3 linked regions of the Lytechinus pictus genome follow. The protein of the gene in region 2 interacts with the protein of the main gene of each other region in a pairwise test. Links are inferred from orthologs where the notes say so. Each region holds a gene or a part of one and is shown on either strand. Other genes may lie near its edges. The genes, in order: small nuclear ribonucleoprotein Sm D2, small nuclear ribonucleoprotein F-like and small nuclear ribonucleoprotein E-like.

Region 1 (7,164 bases), on a different chromosome or scaffold from region 2:
AAAACTCGACCTTTTTCACGCGCACGCTGTGACAAGGAAAGGCCCCACAACAAATATGCTTTCTGAGTAGGCCTAGCTGGTTGCATAAAAAAAAATCTTTTAACGATTAGAGATCATGTCCCTTTCTCTAGCTTTTTTTTTAAACCTCCCTTCTCATTCAACTATTCATCTCATCTCATTTTCTCTGATTTTCCTCTTCTGTCCATCTCTCTTATCCTCTCCATCCCCTTCTATTTCTTCCATTTCTACTTTCATGCCCCTCTCTCTCTTATTTCTCTCCTTTATATCATCTCGATCTCCCTCTTTATTATTTTCCTTTCTCTTTGGCTTCTTTCTCTCTCATCTCCTCGTCTTTCTCATCTCTCTCTCTTACATTCCCTCTCTCTCTTTCCCCATAATTATATCTTTCTTTTATTTCCCCATCTCCCTTATATCGAGCCCTCTTTTATCTCCCTCTCGTCTCGCCTTTCTCTCCTCACCTCTTTCTCATTCCTCGATTTCCCCTCTCTCTCCCTCTCTCTCTCTCCTTCTCTTTGATCTTCCTCTTCTTTCCATCTCTTCTCGTTGATCGTCTGTTTCTTTTTCTCTCTCTCCATCTTTACAATTTTTCCTTCAACTTTCTCTATATGAATTTTGAGTAAATATTCCCTTCCCTCCCTCTCATACTCTTCAATCACACATTCAGGGTGAAAAATTGAATAGAAGTTTAAGGGCAAGAAGGTTGTTACTTTTAATGAGCCTTCAAAGTTGGACCTTCGTGTGCTCAGCAAGGAAATATCTACTATAAAGTACCGTGTATGTAAAAATGGGCACAATAGAATTTGAATTCTTATGAAATTTAATTTGGAAGAGCATGGATGTTGCACGACATGTGCTTACATCAATACACTTTTACATAAAGGAATGGGTGATGGATAAACAAAACCAAGTCAACTCTAACAAGTTTACTATTAGAGCACAAATCAGAAAGTCATAGCAATGGTAATTCCATTTAAAAAGTTGTTGCACTAAATTTCGCTTATTTTCACATACCAGTTATATGCATATCCTGGTGAGTATGAAATATTCCACAAGTCAAAAATTGTACAAAAAGACCACTACCTCTTGTCAAATGACCAGACGTCCCGTATTTCCCGGGATCGTCCCGTATTTTGCTCCTTAATTTGTCCCGGCGTCCCGACAAACCCTTCCCGGGACATATCTGTCCCGTATTTTTAGAATATTGAACAAAATATAGTTGATAAATTAAAAAGTGACGAATTTTCATCACATAACCAAACAGAATGACGAAGCAGAGACAACAATAAATCGATAACTAAAACTTTTGCAAGTTCTGTGGGTGATTTTTATCCTAACCAAATACATTGCAAACGAGCTGGCTTCCTGCCTGTCACTCACACTAGTACGAGGTTAGTATTATTGCCTGCATGTGTGTGAAACAGGCTCTATGCATGTAGGATCGGAGCATAATGATGCAAACAATCTCACATGATAAACAGTTTTTCCACCAAAATAATCACAAAATCGGCGGAAAATTTTTATGATCGTAATTCTCAGATTACTGATTAAATAGGATCGGAGGAACAAGTTTTTTTTAGTTTTCATAACGGGATCTACATGCAGTTGTTTTAGCTTTTTGAGTCTTGTTGTGTATATAGGATGCCGGCGCTGTTTCCTCTCATTTGTAAGTTGACAATGTTTCACTTTGAAATTTTATTCATTTCTAAACCACTTAGTTTTCCAAAATTAAAAAAAAACACCAAATATCATTATCATTTCTGTTAGATGACTGGATTGCTTTTGTTTGCTTGAAGTTTGAACTTTTTCCTCTTTCCTTTTTATCCTTCATCCTTCTATCCTTGTTTTTTTTTTGTTCCATCTACATCTTTTAATATTTCATACCTTTCTTTCCTGATCCTTTCTGTGTTTTAATTTTCTTTCTTTCCTTCTTCCTCCGTATCTGCCATTTTTATTTCCGTCATTCTTTCTTTCCTTATACTTTTATTTACTCCCTTCCTCACCTTTTTCTTTTCGTTTTTTCTCTCCTTCCATTATTTTTTTTATTTTCTCCTCCCTTCAATCTTTCCTCCCTCTCTTTCATTCTTTCTTTCATTCTCTATTTTTTCCTTCTTCTTCTTTCCCCTTATTCTTTCTTTCTTTCCCTCCCCCTTCCTTCATTTTCCCTTCCCGTTTTCTTCTTTCAAAGAAAAAAAAAACATTTTTCTTTCCTTTATTCTTTGTTTCCTCCTCCTTTTTCTTATTTTGTCTTTCACACATCTTCCCTTTCTTTCTTTTTATTTCTTTCTATATTGGGTGAATTCAAAGAATGACGGAAACCTTTTTTTTTCTCTTTTATTCTTTCTTTCATCGTCCTTTTGATTATTCTAACTTTCCGCTTTTATTTTCCCCTTCATTTGTTCTTTCTTCTTTCTCATTTCTTTTCTTTCGTCTTTTTTTTCTCTCCTTCATTCTTTCGTTATCCCTCCCTTCCAATTCTTTTTATTTTTTTCACAAGTATAACATCGTGTAGCCTTCTTTGATGAGGCGATTGTCCCGTATTTCATTTTGTGAAATCTGGTCACCCTGAATTAGACCCTTTTTTTTAACTACATGAATTACCAGGTCCCAGTACATTGTGCATATAGAAATATGTTTGTACATGATTGGCTTAATGACATTAAAATACACTTTGCCACACTATTAATTTTATATTTATAGAGAAAACATATTGCATCTTGCACATATTTTCAATTGCCTTCTACGGCGCGCTCTCGAACAATTGACCTAGCAAAATGGCGGCGGTCACGTGACTTATCGATTTCGCCGGCGCTGTTTTGCTTGGGTGAACACGACTTCCACGTATTTTTAGTTCAGTGACTGCCTAGCATGCAGCACGGCAGAGCGCTGCGCTGACTGCACTGCTGCTCAAAGTGTGTCTCCGCAAAGTGTCTGAGTGCATGCAGAATTGAAGGAAGCAGCAAAATATTATGTGCCGCGTCGAGATTAGTCTGCAGGCACAGACCTTCGGTTTTCACACAGCGCATATGCAGAGTCTGAAGTAGTGAGACTAGATTCACTCAATTAGCGGTGGCCTATTCTACCAAATCTGATTTGACACAGACAAAACAATTGGAGTCTTCAATCTAGTCATGGTATAAGTTGTCAAATTTTAGTCTGTGCTTGTAGACTATGTTGAAATTTCTATTTTGGAGATTGGTATGATTCAATATACAAAAATACATGTAGATCTATAATTCCCACATCGTAGATAAAGCCAAACAATCGTGATCGAATTGATACAAATCGGATATCAGATAGTAATTATTTTTATTATTTTTATTTTTTTCACAGAATAGTTAAAGGTCAAGTCCATCCCAAAAAAATGATGATTTGAATAAATAGAGAAAAATCCAACGAGCAAAACGCTAAAAATTTCATCAGAATCGGATGTCAAATAAGAAAGTTATGACATTTTAAAGTTTCGCTTATTTTTCACAAAACAATTATATGCACATCTCAGTGACATGCAAATGAGACAGTCGATGAGGTCCATCACTCACTTTTTCTTTTGTTTTTTATTGTTTGAATTATACAATATTTCATTTTTTACAGGTTTGACATTAAGGACCAACTTGACTGAACCATATAGTATTAAAACAATGCTAATTCCACGTGTTCAGGGAGGAATTAATCTTTGTTTAACTTGACAATGAGGAGAAAATTAGAATATTTCATATTTCATATAATGAAATACAAAAGAAATAGTGAGTGGATGACGTCATCAGTCTCCTCATTTGCATACCGACCAGGATGTACATATAACTGTTTTGTGAAATTAAGCAAAACTTAAAACTGTCATAACTTTCTTATTTTACATCCGATTTTGATGAACTTTTCAGTGTTATGCTGGTTGGATTTTTCTCTATTTATTCAAATCAACTAATGGTTGGGGTGGACTTGTCCTTTAATTCATTCATGGACCTATCCACGGAGGATTATTCTATTGTCACTGGGGGTGCTGAGCATTGTCACAGCACCCCCAGTAACAATAGATAATCCTCCGTAGATATATAGGTTCTCTCATCAGGCTCTCTCATCACTCAAAAACAGGTCCGACATCATCATCAAGCCTGCAGACAAAGGATCAGCCGTCGTTGTTATGGACCGCCAGCAGTACATCGATGAAGCCATGAAACATCTCAATAATCGATCTCACTATGCACTCCTCGATTCTGACCCTACTTGTAATTTCTCCCTACAGATCAAATCGACACTGAATGACATGAAAGAACACGAGCATCTCTCTGAGAAGGCCCACAAATTTCTCTCCCCTACTAATGCTAAACCTGCCCGCTTCTATCTCCTCCCGAAGATCCACAAACCTGCCAACCCCGGTCGACCCATCCTCTCAGGAAATGGTTCCTCAACAGAGAACATCTCCCTTTTTGTTGATTACCACATTAAGCCCCTTAATTGTCTCACGTGCACCCTCTTACATCCACGACACTCCAGACTTTCTCAGGAAACTAAATGACATCAAGGACCCGAGACTGCGATCATCGGCACTTTCGATGTTTCTTCACTGTACACCAGCATTAATTCCCCACGACGAAGGTATCCAAGCATCATGTGAAGCTAGCCTTGGCCGCCAGTGGCCATTCCAGTCCCCCCATATCCGATATCAAATCTCTGATGTCTCATGTACTAACAAAAAACAGCTTCACATTCATGGGCAAGCACTATACCTACAGATATTCGGTACAGCAATGGGCATCCGGATGGCTCCTTCATTCGCCTGTCTCTTCATGACGAAGCTGGAACAGCAGATGTTAGATTCAGCCCCCTGTCGCCCATGGATTTGGTGGCGTTACATAGACGACATTTTCTTCATCTGGACCAGAGTGAAGACAGCCTCCATACATTCATTGACCACATCAATTCCTTCCACAGGACCATCAAATTCACTTCTGATTTCTCCCAACAGGAAACCCACTTCCTTGATGTTACAGTCCAGAAAAAGTATAATGGTATCACCACTACCCTATACTCTAAACCCACAGATACCCACCAGTACCTCCACTCATCCAGCTGCCACCCCCGTCACTGCAAAACCGGCATCGCTTACAGTCAAGCCCTCAGACTTCGCCGTATCTGCTCCGAGGACCCTGATTTTTCCTTCCATGCCAGGAATTTGCAGAAACATCTCTGTGCCAGGGGCCACGGGCCAGGGCAGCTAGTCCAACTGGCAATTAACAAAGTTCGTTCTCTCCCCAGATCTGAAGTTCTCAAACCAAAAAGTGACAAGGAGACCACCGACAGAATACCGCTTGTGACCACCTTCCATCCCAATCTACCCCCTCTCCGCAAAATCCTGTTTGATAACCACCACATTTTACCAAGGAGTTGGAAGCTCCTTGATTTTACACACTTCTGATCGTCTCCAACAGGCCGTTCCCGATACTCCCCTTCTAGCATACCGACGCCCACCGAATCTCAGGGACCTCATTGTTCGTGCTGAAGTGCCCTCCCTCACTAACCATTCTTCTCCCATACAACATGGCACCTTCAAATGCACCAGCAACAGGTGCATCATATGTGAAATACACCTTCACGAGGGCGATACTTTCACCAGCAACTCTACCAGCCTGTCTCACCAAATCAAGGGCAACATCACATGCACTACCACTAATGTTGTATATCTCATCACTTGCAGAGTTTGTAGGGTACAATACATAGGGGAAACCAAGACCACACTCAAGAAACGATTCTACGGGCACAGATCCACCGTCAACACAGCAAAGCTGGACACTCCAGTTGGCCGCCATTTTAACCTCCCCAACCACTCCATCACTGACATGATGCTACAGGGCATCGAATCTTTAGGTACCCGTCCTGACTCAGTCCGTACTAGCAGGGAGAAGCTCTGGATGAGACGACTTCGCACCACCCAACCTCATGGCCTGAACATCCAAGAGGGGAACGACTGATTTTTCTTTCCTATCCACTTTCAATTTTTATATACATATAGTTTTTCCCCTCAGCTCTTTTGAATAGTTACATTATAGTTTCTTACTCTACTTTCCTCCCATATCTCATACAAGCTTAGCTCCAATTTTTCCTTCCTTATTCAGGCGATATAATAATTATTATATATATATATATATATATATATATATTTGTTTTTTCTCCACTCACCTCTTTTAGATTTACCACATTTGCTTATTTACATGTATACTATGGTTTCTTCATAATACACCCCCTCTCTTCTATATTTGCTTTTACTTTTTTTAGGCAATTTGCTTCCTCTTTTTCACATATACAGGGTGTTTTTTTTTTTTTTTTTCCCCTACTATATAGACTTATAGTCTTATGTTTTTTTCCCGTCACACCTAGCGGATTACAATATCAGTTACACCATATGTGTATTTATATATTTTTTCATATACATTTCTTTTTTGGATATATTTATATACATATCACTTATAGATACATATTTACACTTACCTTCTTCTCTTAGTTTGTTTAATGCTTTATCATATATACTTATATGTCTTTTGCACATTATCAGTTGTTCCCCATTCTTTTTCTTCCCCCCCCCCCACTCTTATGCACCAGTTTATTAAGCCTTTCTTTGTAACCTGTTTGACCCACCTCTCACTATTTCTCTTGTTTTTCATCCCATTATCTCTGTTTTGTTCCAGATCCTGTTTGATGTTGCCTGCCTCATTATTTTAATCCCTCTTGGCTTGAGGTCTTTTACTGGCCTTACTTACACATATGGCCCCTGTTACATCTGAAAGTTTCCTACCCGAGACCCGACCGAGTCCACTTGCAACCTTGACTGGATTATTGGTGGATTAGCTTCGCGAACGGACCGAGTCCGAAATGTGGTCTGTTTACATCACAGCGTTCATTCCCTCCCCTATCGGTACGGTTTCGAGCGGTATCCGATTGCTGACACCAAAGGGCACTCTCGATCTAGGCTCTGAATAATTTGCGCGCGCTAATTGAAGTTGTTTACATTTCGTTATTCTGGAAGCATGCTGATGATCCCAGCAGTCGTTGAAGATATGATCGATTTGAAAAGAATACGTTTAAAGTGCTTCCTTCTTTCCACTAAAATCAAAGACTTTATCAATCACAATTCACATGTCAAAAGCCGCA
Region 2 (7,462 bases):
CTCGTCTTTGATTGAATTGTTATCAATTTCAGATATTTATAAACATGAATATATTATTTTCTTCATAAAATGAGAGGACATTTGAAGCTAAACTTGTACAAAAGTGGTTGAATTACGGATTGCCATAATCGATTGTGATTTTAATCGGTCCAAATCGTTTTGTATTTAATAAAGACATAAATTCCCTCCTCCTATGCATCACAAATAGTTTGTCTTATTGGCAATGACCTTGAAAAAAGTAAGACAAATTAATTAATACTAAATCATCCAAGTACTCATTATGGACTACCGATACTGCAAATTATCAACATGATCAGGCATTCATTCTGTGAAAACATCAATTTGGAAATGTGTTGTAAATCTCACAGGTTTTGCCAATTTTTATGGCATTTACAGCTATTTTTAGATCAATGTCAAGGTCAAAAGATAAATATGTGACTTTATGTATTATTTGGAGCTTAAAAAAGAACCAGAAAGGAACAAGATTTGCAATTATCAGCTTAAAGTCACTGTTAGTATTGAAATAACACAAACTGTTACCAGGCTTTAAAAAAATAGGCTTTCTTGTGCTTTTCACTGGCCTCAAAGCCGTGACAGTTGTACAGCCCCGAATGCTATATTTCTTCTAAATTCTAGATACATGTAATTTTGATAATTCCAATTTCTAGAACTCGCACTATCCTGCACTCTGATGTGACCTGAAACACACACAAGATATTCAGGGATACATGGTTACTCTCATGTTCCAAGTTTCCATGAACTAGATCTATTAACTTTTTAAAGTTATGATGACAATTCCTAACATACCCCCAACATTATCAAAGTTTGTTCCATATATTTTCATAAGTTATGACATTTCAAAAACTTAACCTTGGTTAAGATTTCAATGTTGACGACACCGCCGTCCCTGTTGGAAAAGCGGCACCTAGTCTCACTCTGCTATGCAGGCGAGACAATAAGAGATGAAGGAATAAGGGTAGAAATAGAATTTTAAAGAACAGAAGAGATAACAAAATTCAAAGCATGTTCCCAATCGCGTTAAGTTGAAACAGGAAGTCGAATCAACCTATTCTCAGCTGCTTTTATATTGGTTAAATTCATATCCTAAATTTGAAATATTTTTCCATTGTCAATATTTTCTATTTCCGTAGTAGTATCAGCACCCCAGCCTGCTAGCGTTTGCTGACGGCCCGCTCATTTTGCCGAAGTCCTGCTGCTTCAATTTCTCTTGTCAAGTGCTCGCCTATATGTATGAATGATCTCATCATTTCAGATTTATATCGGATTAAAATTTTACTTTCTCAGCTCAGGATACGAATAATTTTTACAGTCATGAAGTACTGATTTGTTCATAGTGGCACACCAAATTTGAACTTATTTTTTAAAGTAGAGTGATTCGCTAATCAATGACTTTGTCACGGAAAGAAGCAAACATGACTAGATCTAGAGCTGGAATTGTACAGGACACTAGCCGCAGAGTTGTTTGCTGAGGCCCGCTATATGGACGAAGATCGCTTTTTTAATTAATTAAACTGTGAGACTGTTCATAATATCAAACAAATTTGGAACTAATTTTGGAAGAGGACTGATCAGGAGTTGGTTACTGAATTACTTTTGTCAATTTTTTTATATTGACTTTCAGACTTTATATATCTAGACATACATGTATGTCAACCAGGCCTAGGAATAACTACAGTCAGTAGAACTGTATCAATTTTTTTTTTTTGGTACAGTTTGCCAACTCCAAAAATACCTAGAAATTGTCATCAAAAGTATGCTTCAAATTGCACCATTTGACATACAAAATTAAAAAAGCGTCAGGCCAGACTGTGGGAGAGGAGACACCCCCCTCTCACACCCATCCGCCGCACGATCGCTCTGCTCCCTCGATTGTTGCAACAAAATATTTTCTTTTCTTTTTTCTACCCCACTCACATGCCTGTCTTTATTTTGTTTATCCAAGTTTACATACCGTAGACCATATGAAATTGAAACAATAATGTTGCTACGCTTGTTTTTTTTTTCAATTTTTGTGAAGTAAATCATTTTATGTTGGAAGCATAACCCCCCCTCCCCCCTCCCAATAAAAGAATGCCATGTTTCTTAGCAATAATGATAGTCGTATTATCATGTTTATGAATATATTTACAGTTGGAAGAAAAATTGAACTAAAGTAAAAAAAAAAAATAAAAAATAAAAATTGTCATGCTCTTCAGTATTTTATTGTGAAGTTTGTCATGTATCAAGTGTAAAAATTTCCACACCGCAAAATTTTCCACTTTTACAGTAGTCTATAACTATAAGCAACAATTTTCATAACCATTCTTTATAGAAACAAAATTCATTATAAATATATGACAGACCTTCGTTGTGACAAACTGGCTGAGGGTTCGCAAATGGCGATCCATTATTTTATAGTTTCGAACCAAAGTTCTGAAAAAAATTGCAGAACCAAACTCGAACATGCTGCCTGACTTAGCAGCACTATTTTCATGAGAGTCGTTCATTGAGAATGACGAGAAAAAACGCAGAGGAGAATAGAATACAAGCAGAATATTACACTTTACAAGGAGATTGCATTGGATTTGACATGAAATATATTAATTTTTTTTACTATTCTTCTTGACTAAATAATTGGCAAATTGAAATACAGAACTTTTTGTGTACATTGTTTGAGTATACATATCTGCTCAAATTTTTTTCTAAAAAAGTTATTCAAATGCATTAAAATGATAAATAATTGTATAAAATTGGGGAAGAACTTTGGGCTTTAAGAAGCATAAACAAGACATTAAATAAGTACTGTATGTAATAATATTTTTTCCTGTCTCATGTCAAGTTGAATGAGTCTAGCCTGGCTTCATGTTAATAATTGATCAATAGATATGTCTATGGCTATGACTGTCTATTTTAAAGTTAACATTAATATTTAACTTACCTGAACATTCATGTAACCATCAACAGATACTAAGTAGCCCTTGTACTCCATTCCCCATTTGAGACGAACCATCACAGGCTTTCCAGTGAGTCCATTTAAAAATGGCTTGGGATTCAGTGGCATTCCCTGTATACATATAGTAGTAAAAAAATTCAAATTTAAAGCTCAAGAATATTTGCCATTGCTTGGAGTGTAACACGCCTACATGTACTTTAGACCAAACCCAATATTTGCCCACCTATCATATGATCATAGCCAGTTAGCACATTTATTCACCATAAAGTATGGTAATCACAAGAAAATACTCTCAAAGCCCGAGTCATAAAGTCAAAAACTTTCCTCACAATCCTAATATCACCATTAGCATAGAATACCGGTACCATTTCCATGACCATGCAGAGATAAATCTACAGTGCATTTCTACGTTGACTGTCACATCATCAAGGAATTACATCAGTCACCTACAGTGTTAAACTTACTCCTGATGCCATGGCCGCCTAGACGATCGTGATGAATGTGCAGTTTGTCATTGAATTCTTGTCAATTTGGGGGTTACTTAGGGGTATTCCCCGACTCTTTCTTTAGAATTTATCATACATGTACATACCGACACACTAAGCTATCTGCACATTAATGAAGAAACAAATTTCAAGATGAATTTGCTTATTAATATTCAAACTATTGAGAGTTATTATTGGAAATTTCACTTCCAGAAACTGTATACATGTAGGCCTATCCACTAACTTTTATTCAGAAAATGACATTTCATCATTTACCAATTACGGCTAAATTATTGAATAGCAAATTATGATTTGGGGGGGGGTGATGACGTGAGAATTTATTGTCAACGTCATGTCAACGTTTAAATTGTCCCATGTGCGAGTCTTGTAACAGCGCGAGAACTAGTTAAGTGTTTTGCATAAAACAATATAGAGGTTTCGGCGCAGAAATCGAAAAATCTCTTAGGCTACTAAATCTATTGAAAATCAACGGGTCTCAGTGTGTAGTGAAATTCAGGTACCACATACTTTATGACTCCGGAGTCAGCATTCACGATATGGCCCAATTATTGCAGATGCCGAACAAACAAGTTTGCATGTTAAACTCCAAAAGCCTCCAAGACCAAATTCGGACCACTCTACCTCTGTGAAAACATTTCATAACCTTAATTCAGCTTGTGGATAGTTCCCTGTGTTTATATTCTTTGTACACTACATACAGCAATGCAAAATGAGAAGATAAACTATTTTGGAATTAAAAAATTCCTAAGTTAGCCATCATAAAATATAATGAATTATATGGTCGCTAGTGCTGTTGTCGATAGGCCTCATATCGACATTGATGTCGCCATACAAAGGAATTTCAAAATTCTGACATGTCGACATGCACGCACCCACATCGACATGTAAACATAAAATAAAAAGAGGTCTAGCCTTAAGTCACGAGTGTAAAGCTTAGCTGAAAAGTTAGAAGCATTTATCCACAGTAATTGGCGCGATTAAAAGGTTTATTCAGCTTAGCAGCGCATTAAATGAAAAAAGAATACCTGCGAGCTGCGTAGCAGCAGAAATAAGTCAGTGCGGGGCCGGCCTGCCCGATCAAGCCGCCCTCGATCCTGACTATCTCTCTAGATCTATATGTAGCGCTATAGCGAGAGTAGCGTAGCATTCACCGTACCCATCGCTATTCACCGTGCTTGATAATACGTTGCTCCTCAATCCATTACTTTTCACATAAACGTGAGCAGCAGCGTTTTTGTCAAAGTTGTGACCGCCGTAATTGAGAGCTTACTTCATATCACGAAGTCAAAGAAAACTTCCCTTTCTTTGTTTGGAGATCGTTGCACGGATCGCCGCGGAAGTGATACTGAAATTATCGGTCAATTTTCATTATTTTTTATTGTCAATTTGAGGTGCTTGCATTTGCAGCACATGTGTACTAGCGTATATTATGCAATGATCACTGTTGTAATTGGTGATTCTCAAATTGGCACCGAGTGTTGCGCAATGCTTTCGAGACCGGATCGTGGTACAAAAACTTGATTCTTCAGAAAAAATGTGGATTACATCAGTGATTTTGGAAGTGAATTCACTCTAGCTTAGTGAAAATATGTTTTCCCGAACTGAGCCTGTATTTTATCGATCTTGAGTTAGTGTGCGCATGGGATATCACTCGTGTCAAGGTTAATACATTTGATTGAGAGTGTAAATGTTATGTTCCACGATCGAATGATTTTTTTCATGTTATGTTAGGGAGCCTAGGCTAAATTACGGTCCCTTTTTCATGTCGACATTGTCGATGTCAGGATTAATTTTCAAGCGACATGTCGACATGGATTTTTGTTCCCAACAACAGCACTTATGGTCGCATTTCATAAGTTGGGTATGCAAAAAGGGTGGTGGATGAACAATTTTCAAAATGGTGCCATGGAAGAATTGTTGCTACATGTACATCACAGCATCTTGACCAAATTTATTGAGCAAGATCTCATTTTGAAGCTAGAAATATATGCTAAATATATTACTATAAATTTTACAATATCAGGAGCAACAAGAGTGTCACTAAGGCACAGAATATGGTGTTATTGACCTTAACTGACCTTTGACCTTGGTTTTGTGACCTGAAACTCACAGGGGATGTTTAGTGATACTTAATTACTCTTATATCCCAAGTTTTATGAAATAGATCCATAAACTTCAGAGTTAGGATGGTAATTCAACAAATACCCCCAACACGGCAAAAGTTCATTGACCTTAAATGACCTTTGACCATGGTCATGTGACCTGAAACTCGTACAAGATGTTCAGTGATACTCGATTACTCTTATGTCCAAGTTTTATGAACTAGATCCATAAACCTTCAGAGTTAGGATGGTAATTTAACAAAGACTCCCAACACGGCTAAAGTTCATTGACCTTAAATGACCATTGACCATGGTCATGTGACCTGAAACTTGCACAGGATATTCAGTGGTACTTGATTAACCTAATGTCCAAGTTTCATGAACTAGATCCATAAATTTTCAAAGTTATGAAGGTAATTCAACAAATACCCCCAACTTGGCCAAAGTTCATTGACCCTAAATGACCTTGGCCATGTGACCTGAAACTCAGGCAGGATGTTCACTAATACTTGATTAACCTTATGTCCCAGTTTCATGAACTAGATCCATAAATTTTCAAAGTTATGATAGTAATTCACAGGCATGAAAATTGGGTATGAAAAAAAAAGCTGAAAGGGTTTAGGAAATGTCGTTGACAAGACGGTGGGCGAAGCCCACCGGGCGAGCGGCTTGCCGCTCGCTGCTAACGGGTGGGGTCCAGGGGGCAACGCCCCCGGAAGCTCCTGGGTTTTATCAATTTTACAACTCCAAAAACCTGTTTGAGTTGAATGATTGTAATGAAGTATTTATATGGATTTTTTGTCCAAAATTCAATAAAAAAAAACTAAAAAATACTAAAAAATAGCAATAGCACTTCCCTGGTTTATCAAGTTTCCTGATCACTTCAAGCAGGTTGTATGAAGAATTGTCGGGTCCTCTCACCTCCACCTCTAACCAACTCCATCGCCACATATTAGCAAGTCCACGGTCAATTTCATGAACATCTTTTGAAAGTCTATCCACAACATCTGTGCGGTCACAAGTTAGTCCCCCACAAAATGCCATTTTTCTTGATTCGTTATTACAACAACAAGAAAAAACAAAATTCTTGGATTTCCAGCAAATTAATATTCGCGAATTATAAATGCGTCATGAAAATTCCATGTCACGTCACAAATCTCTGCGAGCACATTCAGCTTCTTTATCGGTCTTCCACCGGTCCGATATGATATGCGCGCCCGGTCGCTGCATGCCCGGCGCGCCGGGTTGCCCCCAGCGATTGCAAGCACACCACCGCTGCACTGCATGCACAGAAACGTAAAACACACCGCGAAATACACGTGTAGAGTTGAGATGTGCTAGATAAGAGATTCCTGCGCAATCGTTGTAAAGGCCAAACGTCATATAACACGTAAGATATGCTAAACCATTTAAGCGCTAAAAATCGGAAATTAAAACGCGGATTTTAGGAGTAAAAAAATGGAAATTCAGCAAACAAAAAACGCGGAAATCCGCGGAAACGCGGAGAATTTTCATGCCTGAATTCAACAAAAAAACCCAACTTGACCAAAGTTCATTGACCCTAAATGACCTTTGACCTTGGTCATGTGACCTGAAACTCAAGCAGGATGTTCACTAATACTTGATTAACCTTATGCCCAAGTTTCATGAACTAGGTCCATATACTTTCTATGTTATGATGTCATTTCAAAAACTTAACCTTCGGTTAAGATTTTGAAAATAATTCTCCCAACATGGTCTAGGTTCATTGACCCTAAATGACCTTTGACCTTAGTCATGTGACCTGAAACTCAAGCAGGATGTTCAGTAATACTTGATTAACCTTATGTCTAAGTTTCATGAACTAGGTCCATATACTTTCTAAGTTATGATGTCATTTCAAAAACTTAACATTAGGTTAA
Region 3 (7,541 bases), on a different chromosome or scaffold from region 2:
TGTAGTTGCACGGCCCAGTTTATAAAACCTTCTTTCTCTCCCCTTCCTCCCTCTATTATTCTTGTTTATCCCTAATTTCAACCACTTGAGAAAAAAATCAAAGAGGGGGATGTAAAAGTGCTCCAGGAAATGGTAGTGTCCGGTTTTGCCACCGTTGTGAATTCAATATTTCTATAATATCTGGGATAAAAAAAAGAAACTGGACTGTACTTACATTCTGAAGATATCTGAAAATCAAATTCTGTGGGAATGCAAAAGTTAGAAAATAGTCTGTCAAGGAAAATTATTTGACAAATTAATTTCAATGGCAAGCAAGATGAAACGATTCAAGATCTGAACACTGAAAACAATATATTTTTTGCTACATCTATAGCGAGTCTAGATGTTTCAACCCTTAGGCTAGGGGCGCAAGTAACAAGAAGTGAAATCCATTCAATACAATTGTTTTACATCCCACAATATTGATCTGCTATCTGCATATAAAAATTTACAAATTGAAATACAAACAATTTTTCAATTAGCAGTGGGTCATTGTAATTCATGAAAACCAGATCCCAGCAGTGTTGTGCCAATCAATGAAAATTAAATGGAAGATTTAGATCCAATCAATTTCACTATTCATATAAAATTGCACTAAGTTTTGAACCTTATTAAATAAGAAAAATCAAACTATGGATATATGACATGATTCCTTACATTATTTGCTTGAATTTATCAATATCTAACATCCCATTTAGTGTAGGCCACGATACAGACATCTGATATCTGTATTTTTTTTCTCACTTTTTTGTTTCTCCTCTTACTTTACTTCTTTGGTTTCTCCTCTCTCTCCTTCTCTTTCCCCCCTAAACGACATCACATAGTCCAGCAGAACTGACCAATCACCAAACAGAGACTGAAGCTATCAGGAGTTCAGGGGCCGATTGCACGAAAGGGTCTTTCCAAGGACCGTCTTTCCTGTCGCCCAATTTTTATGATGCGCCATGTGAAACGCATTTCAAATAAATTATCTGCAAACATATTTTACTCATCCGTTAAAATAAACAAAATGTTAGTTTATGAAATGATGTGATATCTCATGAAATTGTATAAAATTTTATTTAAAAGCAAGCTTACGAATTGTATTGTTTATCATAAATTTCAGAAACACTCCGCTTATAGCGCATCATAAAAGATGGGCGACACGAAAGACGGTCCTTGGAAAGACCCTTTCGTGCAATCGGCCCCAGGACCATTCATTTGAAATTTTGTTGCTCACCGGAGAGATATGAGATTGGGACATGTACATTGGCATCAGTCTCCAGACTAGTTTAACATTTTATTTTCGCTCTCCCAACTCCAAACATATGCCTCCCTCCATATTTTTCCAATTTTGAGACTCCACAGTGGCAAATTGTGTAGAACGGATAGCGATGCGTTCAACGCTAGCGGGCGTGTACATTTTGCTTATTACATGACGTCATCTAGCCACTGCCGATAGCCAATTTATGAATGAAAATATAGTAAGCATGCGCAGTGCAAGCCTTCCATTGCCCCACACAGTATTCCACCAAAACAAGTGTGCAATTCTCTATCACCTCGTACAAAAATCGACCTAGAATTTCCCTTTCCTATATTTTATATGAATTATGAAAGGTATTCTCGGAGGATCTATTTTTCTCACCGATACCGCACAGGTAAGCGAATTTCGATTACTTCTTGCTTTTCCGTCAAAATCTTACGAATTAGCGTCGCAGGGGTGTGAGTGGTCACAAATAAAAAGATCTGAAAAAAGCTGAAGTGTTGAAAAAGTCTGAAATAGAAAGAGCTCCCATACTTTTTGTACAGAGGAAGGCCAAAAATAAGCTGAAATTAAGCTGGAAATCAAAACAAAAATATCTGAAATCAGATTAAAATCTGAACTCTCACACCCCTGGCGTCGATATGGCATTGTGTTCGTTGGAGTTTGTAGAGTCTATCGCAACGTGCACAAAGTCAATTGATTTCCGGGTTTCGGAGCGTCGCGTGAATTTGCATGAAATTGCCGTGTCTCGATAATTTTCAATCGATACTGGAGCGATCCGATCGCAAACCAAGACCAATTCCCGCGTAAACAATGTGACCGGATATCGTTATCGCTATCGATACTTTCGCACGCAGTCCGAGGGAATTATTTTGGCGACCACGTAGTCATGACGTGATCTGCGCGATTGACCAATCAGCGGTCTCCGATTCGCTGAGCCGAGACGGTCTATCCGTTGTAAAGTCTATGGACGATTTACCACTGTGGACTCACAGTTACATGCTACATTTTTTGTAACAAAAAAATGAATTGTAAAATTAAATAAATGTATTCCATAAATAATTGAATGAATTGACTTATCAACGTCTCTTGACAAGCACAAGGATGGAAGGCCGACACAAAGAAAGAGAAAGGGAATTTAATGAGGAATTATCAGACATCGATCATGTCGACAGAAACAAATTTTTTTAACAATGTAACTTAGTGGAACTTACAAAGTCGAAGCAAACCAGTCACGTCACTCACCAAAATGTCCTTTCCCCATTTTTAATCTCAACCCCCATTAATAAATTTGTTGGCCAGGCCAAGTTACTAAAATACTGATCAATGTTGGGGGGCTGTGTAAAAAGGAAAGGAAAATCTGTTTTGTATATTTTAGTCTTATTATCAAGTTAGTCCGACCTCTGACTCTGAGACTGAGTCCGACTTTTGTTTTCCGCTACACAGCGCACAGCAGATGCAACCACAATTTAACTTCAGTCCCACACGTTAGTGTAAGTGTGAGCAGTTTCATATTCAACAGAAAACAAACACACATTAAGATACATTATAACGAGAAAAGGAGCATGTATTAGTTCTTTAAAAGGATACAATCGGTTGGACCATCACTTTCTGGACCTTCTGCCCTTTATACGCCATTTTCACAGCTTAGATCTGATCGATGAAATAAGAACAAACAATGCAGAATCGTTCCCGCTTCGTGGAGATCGCGTTCACATGTGTTTTGTCAAAAGCTATTACTAAACTGTCCCTCGCTAGAGCGCTAGAGGGCGACATATATGTTTTTCAGTCCTGACTGAAAAAGATAAAATGAGTTCAACTGAGATTTTCTTATATCCCTCATCCTTTCCTTCTCTACCCCATATCCTTCTCCTCCATCTTCTTCTTAATCCAATTTTGCTCCTCCTTCTTCTTCTTATATTGGCAAAAGTTTTAGGAAAATCCATCAAAGAATAAATAAGTCATTAGAATTCAAATTATTTGATTTGTGACATCATATGCGAGCAGCTTTCCTACATATTGTATGGTAAAAAATCAATGAAATTTCATTTTCTCTGAAAATTGAAAATGGTTTTTATGACAAATTATATATCTTCAGTATGTATTTAATAAACACATGATTTCCCACCCACTCCTAAAAAAGAAAAGAAAAAGTCATTACGAACCATTAAAATGTGAAATTTAAAGGAGAATGAAACCCTTGAAACCAGCTGAATCCATATAAAAGAGAAAAATCAAAGAAACATATTGTTGAAAGTTTGAGGAAGATTGAATGAATAATAAGAAAGTTATGAGCATTTGAATATTGAGATCATTAATGCCATGTAGATCCTCCCATTGGCAATGCGACCAAGATCTGTGATGTCACACACGTACAACTCCCTCATTACTTTAGTACTTACTTATATTCTCACTTTTATAGAGTCTATCACAAGGTGAGGTGTTCTCTTTATGAGAGGACAAGTACAGAGGTTTCACAACATTATATCATTGATGAATCGTTTGTCATATGATTAGAATGAGCAAAAAGAGATGTTTTGGGGTATATTTTCAGTGTCCAAAACTGGACAACTCTCCCCTTTTGGACACTGAAAATGTACCCCAAAACATCTCTTTTTGCTCATTCTAATCATATGACAAACGATTCATCAATGATATAATGTTGTGAAACCTCTGTACTTGTCCTCTCATAAAGAGAACACCTCACCTTGTGATAGACTCTATAAAAGTGAGAATATAAGTGAAATAAGTACTAAAGTAATGAGGGAGTTGTACGTGTGTGACATCACAGATCTTGGTTGCATTGCCAATGGGAGGATCTACATGACATTAGTGATCTCAATTTTCAAATGCTCATAACTTTCTTATTATTCATTCAATCTTCCTCAAACTTTCAACAATATGTTTCTTTGATTTTTCTCTTTGATATGGATTCAGCTGGTTTCAAGGGTTTCATTCTCCTTTAAGCATTTATATTACATAACATATGGGCTGCTGCTCGTTTATGACGTCAAAAATCAAAAACTTGAAATTCTAATAACTTCTTCACCAATATCTTTTTATTATTTTTCCTTCTATTTTTACAACAAACTTTTCGTCAGGGTGAACTTCCCCTTTGCTTTAATGAGTCTGAAATGTAACAATATATGTCTGATTCAGAAGACTGCGAACAATTGCTGCGAAGCACTGTGCATAGTTTTCCACATCAGGGCCCCGTCTTACAAAGAGTTACGATTGATCGAATCAATCTCAACTATATGGAAATCCACTGTCATAATTTTTTCTTCAGGAATTTTGCTCAATGTCTTTTGAAAACAAAGCTAGAGAAGCATACCGAATTGTCAAGAAAAACAGTGGACGTATGAATTTATGTCATTTCTAGAAAATATTTTAAACAAACTTGTGTTTTAGATGGTGACATTGCTGGCTTTCCATAGTTGCAATTGATTGGATCAATCGCATGTCTTGTAAAATGGGCCCCAGATGTATATCACTTACGTTTATTGTAACAGCAAACATATAACTGCAGCCTTTGCCTCGATCATTATTCACCTCTTCTTTTTCCCTTTACCACACTTATTTAAATTAACTCATTTTTATTTGGCCAGTCAGATTTTTTTTTTTTACCACTTTTTTTTTAATTGATCACTTTTTTCCAGTTTTTTTTTTCTTGTCAATTATTTTGCAACAATGAAGACATGTCTTTTCAGCAAAATCTACTCCCCCGCAATTAAACAGTCACTCTACCCGCTCACTTACTCAAGAAAGAAAACAGAAAGAGGAAAACACATGAAATATGATTAATATTTGTGGCAGATCACCTTCACAAATCTTTATTATCTGTGACCATAATTAGAGGGTTGCATAAAAAAAAAATTAGTTTCATCATGAAATTTACAAAGTAGTGTAATACTCTTCTAATATATGCCTATGTACATGTAAATCATATATCAATTATATGAATATTCATAATAAACAAATGGCTTTACAATAATACATATCTTAAGTTTACTGCTATTTAAAAAAAGAATATTTACATGCAACAGGAAAATAAAAGAAACAAAATCTGTCCAAACAATGCAAAATATACACTAAGATCTTCAAAAGCTGATTAAAGGCACAAGTGACTAATATATTTCATCTGATTTTTGGCATGTTAAACACACACAAGTTACTTTAGGGATATACTTCATATATCAGATACACTTCATACACCACGCGATGAGATGCCCTAGTCCTATTGAATGAGCTATTGCTGTAGTGTGGTAGATTGCCTTGACTTTATCATCCACCATCATTATTCTGAAGAAATCAATATTTGAGCAAATTAATTCGTTTTCAAGATTTGTAACTTACTTTCACATTCACAAGTTGTAATCAACTGTAATGATCCTGGGTTTTGATTTCAATGAAATACACAGAAGTGGAAACTGTTAGGAGTTAGATATCAAGAACATCAAAATTATTAAACTAGAATATTAAACTACAGTGCAAATTTAAAGTAATACATTAAATATAGATGCCCTTTTCCATCCTTGAAGATATAACTCAGTAAAAAATTTAAAAAATCAGGGATATGTGACAAAAAATCTGTGAATCATTTCATATCACACACATTACAGTTTCAAGAAAAGAAAATAGAAATAATTTGTGAAAAAAAAAATACTATTGAAATTGTATCATTTGAAATATATTGTGAAGATATCTCATTAAAAAAAATCATACATGCAAGAACTTCACCTCAGTGAAGCAAATGATTAATCATTAAATGAATGTCAGCAAAATATATACAGGAAACCAGATCACCTGAATACTTGTTTCCACACACTTATCTCATTTTGAATACATTTCACAATATAAATGATTTTTGCATCGTGATTCATGTTATCAATGAATACAGCAATGCAACTGGATATACTGAGTGATTTTACAACAAAATAATGCAGTAATCTGTTTTTCTAAAATGCATTGCTGCACTGATGCTGTGGTGGGATTTTTGTGTTGTGACTCCAAAGCATTGAATTATATAATTTGCATTTTACACTATTCATCGATATGATAAATTTGATAAAAATACACATGTAAACATTGCATATGCTCATCTAAACACATGGATACAAATTCATAAAATGTATTGTGCAAATCTAACACACTTGTTATTATCATTATCATCATCATCATCATCATCATGACCATTATTATCATGACCATCATCATCATTATTACTGTTATCACCACCATCATACTACTATTATGTTACCAATGTTAGTAATATTATTAGATTCATAAATGTTGCTATATATCTCCCTTTCTTACGTTTCAAAATTTGGTTTCATTTTCTTATCAATTCCTCATTTTCATCTACCACCATGCAAAATTTGCAAATACTGCAGATTTGCGACAAAATAATTTTAAAACTCTTTCATGAACGGCTTGCCATAGATGGTTGCAATGTCAGGCAATCTTGTTGCACATGAAACACCCCATAGACATGATAAAAACATAAATAACAAAACCTTACAAATGCCGTAACTTTCATGCAACATATCACAAAAATAAGAAGTCATGCTGCTCCTCACTTGTATACAAACACTCAAATATCACTCAGAATGAAAACAAACATTGTCCAATTCTATAATTCATCTCTTTTGTACAATGAAGAGCATAACACAAATATTGCACCTTTCGAAAGATTTGTATCAATATCTCATATAACTTTTCTCTGGCAATGAACATATAAACTAACAGGTATCAAGAAAACAAAATTAAAATACAACTTTCACCTAAATGTGGCACCTCCATCCAATAACACAGGACGTTTTTGAAAAAAAAAGGAAGTTATACATTTGAAGTATTTTTATTCAAACAATATATTTATATATCATTTTGTATTATTGTAAAAAAAAAATATCCACAAAGTCATCCTCCATGTTTTCTTGCGTAATTTAGAGGCCACATGCAGGATTTATTTTTGCAAAGAGAAAAAAGGGTATTAAATTATTTAAAAACATAAGAAGAAGAGGGATTGAAGTAGCCACACTGATCACTGGGTTGCTTCTTGACTTTTTTTGCTTACACGGAAGGATCAAAATGGTTACCCTTTGAAAAGTTATCAGATCTGACAGCTTTCCTCGTTTCTGATTGGATGAGAAACACAGGAGTCTGACTGTTGCTATGGAAATTATTGCACGACAGCTTGTCAGTGTTGACAACCTTCATGAAACGGTCCCTGTGAGCATGATTTGAGTGGATTTAGTAA

Evidence for each region.
Region 1: the proteins of small nuclear ribonucleoprotein F-like (region 2) and small nuclear ribonucleoprotein Sm D2 interact in binary tests that used the Drosophila melanogaster proteins (3 or more experiments, as listed by UniProt). The link is inferred for Lytechinus pictus from reciprocal best matches to the Drosophila melanogaster genes SmF and SmD2.
Region 3: the proteins of small nuclear ribonucleoprotein F-like (region 2) and small nuclear ribonucleoprotein E-like interact in binary tests that used the Drosophila melanogaster proteins (3 or more experiments, as listed by UniProt). The link is inferred for Lytechinus pictus from reciprocal best matches to the Drosophila melanogaster genes SmF and SmE.

Annotation. Positions count from the first base shown.
Region 1 is NC_087251.1:24,557,022-24,564,185, forward strand, and holds the start of small nuclear ribonucleoprotein Sm D2, read right to left. Parts: upstream 3,041-7,164; 5' UTR 2,882-3,040; intron 1-2,881.
Region 2 is NC_087247.1:76,327,789-76,335,250, reverse strand, and holds the start of small nuclear ribonucleoprotein F-like, read right to left. Parts: upstream 3,102-7,462; 5' UTR 3,062-3,101; coding exon 2,939-3,061; intron 1-2,938. UniProt on the Drosophila melanogaster protein: Plays a role in pre-mRNA splicing as a core component of the spliceosomal U1, U2, U4 and U5 small nuclear ribonucleoproteins (snRNPs), the building blocks of the spliceosome.
Region 3 is NC_087263.1:5,424,006-5,431,546, reverse strand, and holds the start of small nuclear ribonucleoprotein E-like, read right to left. Parts: upstream 3,036-7,541; 5' UTR 2,921-3,035; coding exon 2,873-2,920; intron 242-2,872; coding exon 215-241; intron 1-214. UniProt on the Drosophila melanogaster protein: Plays a role in pre-mRNA splicing as a core component of the spliceosomal U1, U2, U4 and U5 small nuclear ribonucleoproteins (snRNPs), the building blocks of the spliceosome.